Caenorhabditis elegans: one gene and its partner. The protein of the gene in region 1 interacts with the protein of each later gene in a biochemical or structural test. Each region holds a gene or a part of one and is shown on either strand. Other genes may lie near its edges.

Region 1 (5,050 bases):
GTAAAAGTTTGAAATTTGCTAATTTTACTATTTACATTTTTTGGTATTTTTTTAAAAGTCTTCCAACAAATAATTGTGATGGTTAACATTCTGTGGTCAAATTGCTAAATTGAGGAATCTACTGTCTTGAATTTTTATGTAAGACAGTAAGCCATTTCCACAAATAAATACTTGGCATTACTCATTCGGAAAAAAAACAATTGCTAAACTCTAGTTTTTCACAAAAAGTCAAATTCCCATAATCAGGATTTCTCCGAATGATGGGGGAAATTGAATTTTTCGGATTGAGAGTAGGGCTTCTAAATTCTTTATTTGAATGGATGAATTAACACACACAAATTCTGAAGGAAAACTAACAACTTATCAGAATAAATTTGTAATATTACACAACTGCTTAAGTTTTATGGCTGATCTCATGTAATTGCAACAGTGCTTACACAGAAGACTCAGATTTTTCTCTCAAAATGCAAATGTCTTGTTTCGCGAGGTTTCGTTCAATTCAAAATTTTTAAACGGTACATAAAATGAATGATTAATTTTTAAACTTCTTATTTTCACGATTACCGAGTCTCTAAAACTATTTTTCCACTTTTCTCTATCTGTCTTCACTTGAAAAACGATTGAAGCCATCAAAAATCACCCAGAGAAACTTTCTTTTTCACGTTTTTCGACACATTTGCATTTTGATTACCTCTTCCTACACATGACCTATCTCTTTTCTCACACAAACTTTTTCACAGAAATCTTACATTTTCTTGCTCTCCATCTTTCTCTTCCTGCAAAAAACTAATTCTCTCCATCTCTGTATGTCCTTGTTTCTGGAGAACCTAATTTCCATAAAAGCCAGAAAATATTCTTCACTCTCTTTCATCGTCCTTATTTATTATCATTCAATCTTTTAAAAGTAAAATTATGTCGTGCGTTCACCTAATTATTCAGCTTTATTGCCCCCAAAGGCTCTTTTTTATGTATGTCGGAGCAAGTTTTCTTGACAACAACAAGAAAACACAATTTATGACTTGCTTGAATGTTATTAATTGAATGTTTGATTCTATTCTTGGGCGAATATTGCGGTACACTTTCTTAGAACCTATAATATTTTATGCATTCCAAAGATTTTGAGCTAATCTTGGTTTCAAATAAATAATAATGTTGCAAACCTTTTTATTCCAAAAAAAAGTAATATGTGAAATAATGTCAAGGTAAAGTTTGGCTTTTCGGTTTCAGTTGTAGAGTTTCAGTGATAATTTTTAGTCCAGTTAGAGTAGTTTTAAGTTTTTTCTACGCATTCTGTTTGAATTTAACTTCTATACATTTGGCATTAAATGTCATGTGAATTTAAAGCATTGATACAGTAAGATGTGTCCTTAAATAATTGTATAAAACGAGACAACTCAATTTCAAATTAGAACTGAATATCGTGCGTCCCCTAAAACCTTACATTAACTGTACAGTTGTGGAGCTTTATAAACCTTTAAACTTCTTTTTCTAGTTTAAGATATTGAAGAAAAATCACAAAAAAAATCTGGTGATGTTTTAGATGTCTTCAACTTCCACTATTTCTACTTCAATCTACTTGTTTTCAATAATTTCTGAGTTTTTCATCTCCGAAGGAACAGAAGGTGTTCCATAACTAATCAAACTTGACTTTGCACATTTCCACCATCATCACAAATATGATCGTCCCATATCTAATCAAATTGTGTGTGGGAAACTCCAACGAGTTTTTTGTGCCTATTTCCTCGTTGAGCAGCAATCCACTTGAAAAATCCAATCATCTTGGAGAAGTAGAAGACGAACTCGAATCCAATTCATGGCCCCGGGTTTTCACGTTGGTTAAACTTTTTCTCCTTTCATCCAATCACCTCTTCGAGTACGTTTCTTGTTCCGCGCCGCAGTTTTTTTTCATATTTGCTTTGGAAATTAAAATAAATAATTTTGATTTTTCAGGTAAGACCAGTGAAAACAAGACAACGAAGAATTGGTCAAACGTCGAATTGAAAAATGGTAAGTCGACCAATTATCAGATTTATTTTGGATTACACATGTTCTTCCGCTCTTTAATTATTTTCTTCTTGTTAGTCATTATTTAAAGTTCATTTTGTTTATACTCTTTCGCATTTCCCATGATTTTTGCAAATATTTTATTGAAGTTGAAAATTAGGGATTCCAAAAAACGTTTGAAAGAATAAACGACCTTGAATGGGTCTAGACAATTCATTTTTCTTGGATTGTTATTTTCGTATTAATTGAATTTTTACAAATGCTATTTTCAGACCAACTTGATATTTTTAGATTTTCTCAGTTTTCCGGAACATTTGCTATGTTTTTTGTCTGTTCAGTTTTGCTTTCATATGTATTAGCTCCTCACAACCGAATTATCAAAAAACTGTAAAAATAGAACATATTGAAGTTTATAGAAAATCGATGAACCATGTTTTTATTTTTTGAAGATGATACGATTCGTTATCAAAACTAAACCTTATATGGTAAACATTTAAATTTTCCTGTATACGTTCCTGCAATCTACCTACCTGCCTTCCTTAACCTCCCAACTTTTTTGGAGATTTGGTATTTGAATACTTTTTAATGTTGATTAATGATAGTAGTACTATTCTAAAGCTTAATCTTTTCTTGTAAAACAAAAACCTTATGACCTTTCTCATTCAATTCCTGTAACCTATTCTGCAGAATCCTTTTCCCTTGAAAAAATGAACATTTTCAGAAGGGTAGTTGTCTGTGTTTCTACTCTCCAGAGGATACCCACGCTGCCCCCGCTGTTAAAAAAAATATAGGGAGAAAGAGAGAAAGAGCAAAAATAAAATAAATTGGGCCAGAGCAATTTTCCATATCTTTTCCTGCCCCAGCGAGTCTTGTTGTTTCTTCTTTTGGTGTTTCTAAACACTCTAGGATTCTAGAGATTTTCAGCAGTTTGCAATCTTGAATTCTTAAATTTAACTTAAGTCTTGAAACAAAAACTTAAAAATTCACGGTCGCCTTCCTTTTTCTGTTTTTCTCAATATTTTCACTATTTCTGAAGAAATGACTCGTCGGATTCAAAGAGAATCTAAGAAAGTCTTGAAGAATCAAGAATTTCATCAGGATAAAAGCTGAAGACGTCAGTTTTATCTTGCTCTTCTTCATTGAAGTGAAAAGAGGAAGGGAAGAATGAGATCTGTAGAGTCACGTGATGGATGTTTGATATAAACTAATGTCTTCTGATGCTTTTCCTTCTTTCTATTCACTTTAATGATGGACCACTCATTCATGTTTCCTTAAAGACTTCTTGAAACTTTCTTGTTCCATCTACTTGATAATGACCATAGCCTTGAAACTAGATGAAAAGTCTTTAGAATTTCCTTCCAAACTTGAAATATCGGGAATAAAAAATTCACAAAACTTTTTCAATTTTATACATTTTAATTTTCAAATATCGTCTACATGGTTCCAGTGGGTTATAATATATTATAAAAAATTTTAAAATCCATGTATTAAAAAAATTAGAAAATACAGTAAAACGTACTTTTCCAGTGAAAGTGACAGAAAGGGCGCGAGGGTGGCGATGAAAGAGGCGGGTTAGATGCGTCGACGCCTCGTCGATGTAGATTGTCTGAAACGCAAGAGAATCTGGGTTTTCAATCTGAAGTTCTACAACTATTTTTTGCAATATTAATCTAGACCAAAATAGCAGGGTTTCATGAAGAACCATAAAAAGGATGCACTATGAGAATTTTGAAGTGTACTCCGTACTACAACTACATGACCTGATCTTTAGTGCAGTTAAAAAATATGAAAAACACGGAACAGAGTTCCTAGAGATGAAAAATGGTACCATTTTCGGCCATGATTTATTTTACGATCAGTTAAAACATTCCACTTGAGATAAGCAAAAATTATTAGTACTCTGTTCCAGAACACTTTTATATCTCATCTGAATATGCACCATGATTAGATATAAAATATATAAATTTTCTATGATCTGTTGTGAGATGGTCCCATCTCCCAATTATCTGGTACTCTGAGACACTCGCGAATACTCCCATCGTGTTCGCCGTACCAGAAAACCTATAAACCGCTCCTTCCAGTCGCTCTATCTCCCCCTTTCTCTAATCTAATGCGCGCCCTCATTTGAATCTCCCGCCAAGCTCAATGGTCTCGCAGCGAGTGTGCGCCGCGGGTCTCACCGCGCGCCCTCCTTGCTCGTCCTAATTCGCTGGCCTAAATTAGTTTCGACTCAACTCCCTTCACTCGTCTCGTCACCGCTCCTGCGGATCGTTCTTCTTTTATAATTATTTATCTTTATTTATTCCCTTAATAGTTTATCACCCGCTTTAGTGACTTGTATAGCAATCTTCCTATACGGAAGACGCTAACATCCGCTAATGACACGTTAAACTATTCCCTTATCGACAGTTCCCCTTCTTTCTATATTCTTTCGAGCTAATAAAGGGGGTTTCATGGTAACTTCTCGTGTTATATCGTTCACACCGCTTATCTCTCGTTCTTGCATGGCACTCCGCAACCGCCAGTTCTCTCTTAGACTTCTTTCCGGCTTGACCCCAGTGGTGGATCCCCAACCCACTATACTGGGCGGTCAACATGGAGTTGGACACCCATGTAGGTTATGAGTTTCTTACCTGGATAAACCGGTTTCGGAGCCATCTGGCGCGAGCGGTCGGATGATGATGATACATCCGCCGGTGCTCCTCTCTAGCTAGTTGAGTCAAACCCGCATGGTTAAAGCCCCCTTCGGATGCTATTCCCGATGTGGTTTGGTGAGTGCATTTGACTGGCTATCGCGACCAGCTCGGCATCAAGGCAGAAATTCAGAACACACATGGGGGGAATGGTTTTTTTTTATAAATTTCTTAGCCTTCTCCCAGTCACTTTTCCATAATCGTTTCCTGTTTTGCAATCTGAAACCTTTTTACGCAGAAAAAGTTTTCCAAGTACTTTGCTGACCAGAAAAGAAGCTTTTGAAACTCGAAAATACCTGCCCATTGCCAAAGTGCTTAATAACTTTTCAGTTAATTTTCTAAATTAAAATGAT
Region 2 (5,188 bases), 260 kb from region 1:
CCGCGAAACTAGCAGACCAAAACAATATATCTATCTTTCTCTCTAGTAATTTAAATTTCATCTGAAACTTGTACATGACCTCTCTTCCTTCTCCACGCCTACTTCCTCCTTTTTTTTTCATTGAGGCTTCCCGAGTTGACGAAGAATCATCATGTCCATTAATTTTACATTAAATATTAAAAATGGGAAAACGGACATTTGTATCTCGTCATTTATCTTTCGGAAACTCCCAGATAGTATTGCTCCTTGATCTTCTAGAAAACTTCAAGCTCAACTAAATTTACCGTACTCACGGGTACGGTAGCTGAGAATTTTCATGTATGAATGTTAGGACCGCCCATCGAGAACATTCCCATAACCTGTCCAGCTACAATAATCATCTTGAATGCTCAAAAAGCGCCCCTTTTTTCAAACGGTTTAAAAAGTTTAAAAAGTTCAAAAAATGGTTTTAAATTATTTTTCCTTGAGAATTTGACAAAGAATAAGGTTTTATAAAAAACTAATTTTGTTTTCAAAACAAGTAACTTCTAAAGGAAATCCTCTTTCTCCAGTATTGAATATTCCAGTGACTCTATATTTCTGAGAATTTATTTTTGACCTTCGACATTTTCAAAATATTTTCTAGTTTCTCAAGGCGTTCTTTTGTATCAATAAGCCAAACGTGTGTAAGTGTGTAAGTGGAAGGCAAAATATGTTGGTGTAGAAAATACTATACCTCGGCACGAGCTGACTAGACTCAGGTAACAAAAAGCTGTAAAAACAAGTGAATTTTGCTACGCAAACCTGTTTAAGACTTTCTGAATTAAACACTCTCACCAAATATTTTTTTTAAGATTGAAGATACTTGACGATCTCTTTTTGAAACTTTCATAAAACTTCTTGTTCATAAAATCTATTGTACACCCAAAATAAAATCTCTGTTTATTTCATCATTGCTCACTAAAAACTCTCCCATTGATTTGTCAATGCTTTGATTCTAGTTAATTAGACTTAAACAGAAGAGGCAGGGGAAAAGGAAAAAAGGATTAGGGAATTCTTTGAAACCGCTTTGTTTGTGGTCAGAGTTCGTGTCAATCTGAAAATAATTCCCATGAAAATGACGGAAAATGTGAAGAACGGAGAATTAAATTTCACCTGTAATTTTTAATGGTATATACGACATGAATTATGCATAGCAGGTTTGTTGATTTTTTCAAGGTCTCGCCTCTAGGAATTTTGTTTCAAGAATTGAACAACTTTGTAGAGGAAAAACATGGAAACAGTAGAAAGCTAGAATGTTTTAATGATCATATATATCTTGTAAATGTAAAAAGTTTAGACTTTCAAGAAAGCAAATTTTCTACTCAAAACTCAAAATATGAATACGATCCGGTGGCAGATCTTTGTTGAATTGTTGAAATGTTGGATACTTTTTGTTTCTTCCTTGTGATTTTCCAGGTTATACAAACTTTCCTGATTTTTGAAGAGTTTATCGATAACATGATGTATTTTCGAAAGTTTGTTGAAACTCATCAAAGTTTACCGCAGTCGATTGAAAATTGATAAGTTCATGGCCAAAAACTGTGCAACCTTCCTCCTTTGAAGATTTCAAGTCTTCAGCTTTCCTTGTCTGGCATGGAGCACTCCTATTCCTGAGGTCGCAGTTGATTTTTTGCAAGTTTTTCCTCAATCTCATTAAGATTATCCCACTAGTGACGTCGACATGATTCAGACATTTTTCTTTCTTCCGAATTCAAACTTTTCAATCTCCTTTTCTCTCTATTTCTCTCAAATTTCCGTCATATTTTCACCTCGGGTTCCGGGGCGTTTTAAAAGTGGGCGTGTTGCTCCCTCTTGGTGCGCGGGTCGAAGAGAGGCGGAGTCTAAAACTAGAGAGATCTGTCTCTCTCTCGGTTGTGCTCATTCATTCTATTCGACTTGTGCCTCACAGCCAAGTGAACAAGCTTTTCCAGCTCTTCCTCTTCCTTCTTCACTCAACGTCAACATGAACAGATTCATCATTTCAATGATTGCCCTTTTGGCTGTCTTCTGTGCTGTATCTACAGCTTCACCTCTTTTATACAGAGCTCCACAGGTTAGATTTTAGAGTTTTGGGTTTTCAAACTGGTTTAATAAATATGAAACTTCTGTGATCAAGTCAATTTACTTGACCGTCCAAGAAAGTTAGATTTCTCAGTGTTTTCAAAGAAAATGCTCAAAAAATCATAGTGCCCAAGAACACAGGTTCAGTTAGTTTAAGACAGTAATATTAAGAACTTATAAAATGATAGCTAGGTCATGATTAAAATGTTTGGCTTTCAAATAAATATTTCCTAAGCCTCGGCAGACAAAAGATGTCCGCATACTTGCCTAACAGAGAAACATACTTTTTCTTTTTTTGCCATGAACCAAAATTTTCGTCGAGTCACTGCGAAGGTCCAGGAGAGCTGTGCCTGCCCAGTACAGTAGGCACGCTGGGAGAGTATGAAAATTCCTTCTTTCGTTCCTACAAGGCAGGTAAACCTTCTCTGAAATGACACCTACATTAGCCGAATTGCCTGCCCAGTAGGCACGCGACGTGAACCAGGCAACGAACGCAAGATGTGCCTGCCTTGGAACGCAGTCAGCAGTGTCAATACATTTCGAGCTTGACTGCCTTTATTAGTTTGGTGTCAGAAGGTATCATCAAAACCTGCAGAATTAAAAAAAAGTGTTCTTATTCTATAGAATTCAATCATCCGATGATAATTTGACTTTTCAAAATCAAACAAAAATCAAAGATTCACAAGAAAAGCACTAAAGAAGCCAAAAACCTATCCTCTGTCTTGATTAGATGCCTCGGAAACTGACGAACATCCGTTGACCCCTTGGTGGGTGGTTTTCTATGTTTTTTGTTGTGAAATTGGAAAAAAAAAGAAAAATCACACTACTAAAAGTGCATAGAATAAAATAGTATTTACGGCAAAGAACAATGTAGTAGTGGAACATCACAATTTTGTTGTGCAAAATGACGTGAAATTTGATTTTAAAATAGAAAAAAAAGGAGAAAAATAGAGTAGCATCATCAAAGTCCTATAACGGAATTTGAAGAGAGTAAGGGTAAGCTTTTTGATGAAAAAGAAATCCATGTTTTTATAGTATCAGATGTACGATGATGTTCAGTTCGTAAAACGCAGCAACGCCGAGCTTATCAACGGACTCATCGGAATGGATTTGGGAAAATTGTCAGCTGTCGGAAAACGGTTAGTTTTTTATCATTCGTTTGTTTAACCTGGTACCTCCACGGTTTAAAAGTAGATCTATTTATAATTAGCTGAAAAAATACAAATTTGTTTATTATAATTCTTTCTAAATATTAAAAAGTTAGAGAAATGCTCTCATACTGAACCAAAACGTTATAGCATTCAATTATAAACTTTTTTGTGAAATTGATTTAACTCAATTTGAACATATTGACATCTGACACCAAAATTACCATTTTCCAATCGATCTACACCTGCCTACCTTATGCCTACTGCCAAAGAAAATATTTTTATTTCTCAGTTGAATTTTCAACAAGATAATTGAAATGAGGACAAATGCCACTGGTTAGGCATGTAGGTAGGCAGGTGTGGAGTATGCCTACCTTTAGGACTGTATGTTTAAATTGAAATAAAATACATTTAAAAATGAAAATGAGAAATACGCTTAACTGCCCTAGGCAAACGCCAAAAATGGTAGGTAAGTAAGTATGTATGCAGGTAAGAATGAAGACAGAACTTCTAATTCGAGCATATTTTTCACAAATTTTCGGTACTTTTAATTATGAATTCTAACGTTTTTCAATCAAGAGAGTATGAGTCATTTTTTATATTGATTTCTGATCTGCTCAGTTTGAACCTGCCCAAAAAGTATTGGTTCATAAGTTATACCATAACTTATCAGCCTTGCGTACAGTTACGTATGAGCGCTAAACTGAAGCTATGGCATCAGTTAAACTAGTCTTTTTTACGATTCAAAACACATGTTTTCTTGGTCCAGTGAATTTCTCATGTTTTCATTGCAGCTCAAACGCGGAACTTATCAACGGTCTTCTCAGCATGAACCTCAACAAATTGTCTGGAGCTGGTCGACGATGAGGTACACTTGATATTTCTGAATCCCATTTTAATCTCGAAAATTTTCAGAAACATTTATGGTCCTCGTTTTGATTATCGATTGGTTTTATTGCGCTCATCTGCTCTGACATGCGATTCTGTTCTGCTCATCGTCATCTTCTTCATCTTTTCCTTCTCAAAAACCTTCTCCAATCAGTTCCTAGTCTGTTTGTTTTTTGAACCAACTCCTCCCCCTCCTCCACCAACAAAAACCTCTCTGATAATTTTCTAAACTGTCATTGTTTGTGTGTGTGACATAACCTTTTCCGATATGAAAAATGTGTACTCTGTGAAGAAAAGATCTTCGAAAATCTTTTTGTTTCGTCGTGTTATTTTTTGTGTGTGTGTCTTTATATTCTATCTATATTTATTTAAATTGTCGTTTTCAACTGAACAGGAAGCAGGAAGTTATGAAATTTTCTTGGTTTTTCTACTTTTTACAAAATAATCTACTAAATTTTAGTTACATTACTTTTCTTTGCTTTGACTTTTAAATCACACTCGAACATGATACAAATTTGATAATGATAATTTCTCAAGGTAGTTGTAGAATAATTTGCCAAGATAGACTATAGATTTTTCTTGAATTGTGAAATTTTTTAAAGATATTATGTTCAGCATAACAAATGTTTCAATTAATTTAAATACCAACGGAAGAAAAAAGTGTTTCTTAAACAATTGTTCTAAGTTTTTTTCCTATGAAGATTTTCAAAGTTTTCAACGAGCTGAAATCGAAATTGAAAAACTTCGCAAAAGTCCTTTTTAATAGGCAAAAAAGATTTTTGTGGGTTCATTTTTGAGTATATCACAGTTCTAAAAAACTAGATAAGTTTTTACTTTCAAAAATATGAACTTAAAACAATTGTCTCAAGCGTTATCTAGAGATCCAGGGACAACTAACTGATTTGGAAGTTTATTGTTTGAATATATTTCTACTAGAAACTTTCTAGTGCTGAAGCGTGAAAAGTGGCTTGAATTTTCTTAATCTGTTCATTGGAAATCATAAAACTAATGATGAAAAGGTTGAATGAGTAAGTTGCAATATTAAATTGAGAATGTGAATAAAACATATT

What was found.
Region 2: the proteins of pdfr-1 (region 1) and pdf-1 interact in a test that uses a peptide from one of them, tested with the Caenorhabditis elegans proteins (one large-scale study listed by BioGRID).

Annotation. Positions count from the first base shown.
Region 1 is NC_003281.10:6,647,926-6,652,975, reverse strand, and holds the start of pdfr-1 (Calcitonin receptor-like protein 1), read left to right. Parts: upstream 1-1,950; 5' UTR 1,951-2,007; intron 2,008-5,050. UniProt on the Caenorhabditis elegans protein: G-protein coupled receptor for PDF neuropeptides. Plays a role in responses to environmental signals, including chemicals and touch, and in modulating locomotory behaviors. Capable of transducing signals via an adenylate cyclase acy-1 cAMP-dependent pathway.
Region 2 is NC_003281.10:6,908,996-6,914,183, reverse strand, and holds pdf-1 (Pigment dispersing factor homolog pdf-1), read left to right. Parts: upstream 1-1,918; 5' UTR 1,919-1,984; coding exon 1,985-2,074; intron 2,075-3,117; coding exon 3,118-3,221; intron 3,222-4,024; coding exon 4,025-4,097; 3' UTR 4,098-4,098; intron 4,099-4,145; 3' UTR 4,146-4,594; downstream 4,595-5,188. UniProt on the Caenorhabditis elegans protein: Probable ligand of isoforms a and b of the calcitonin receptor-like protein, pdfr-1, a G-protein coupled receptor. May not signal through isoform c of pdfr-1.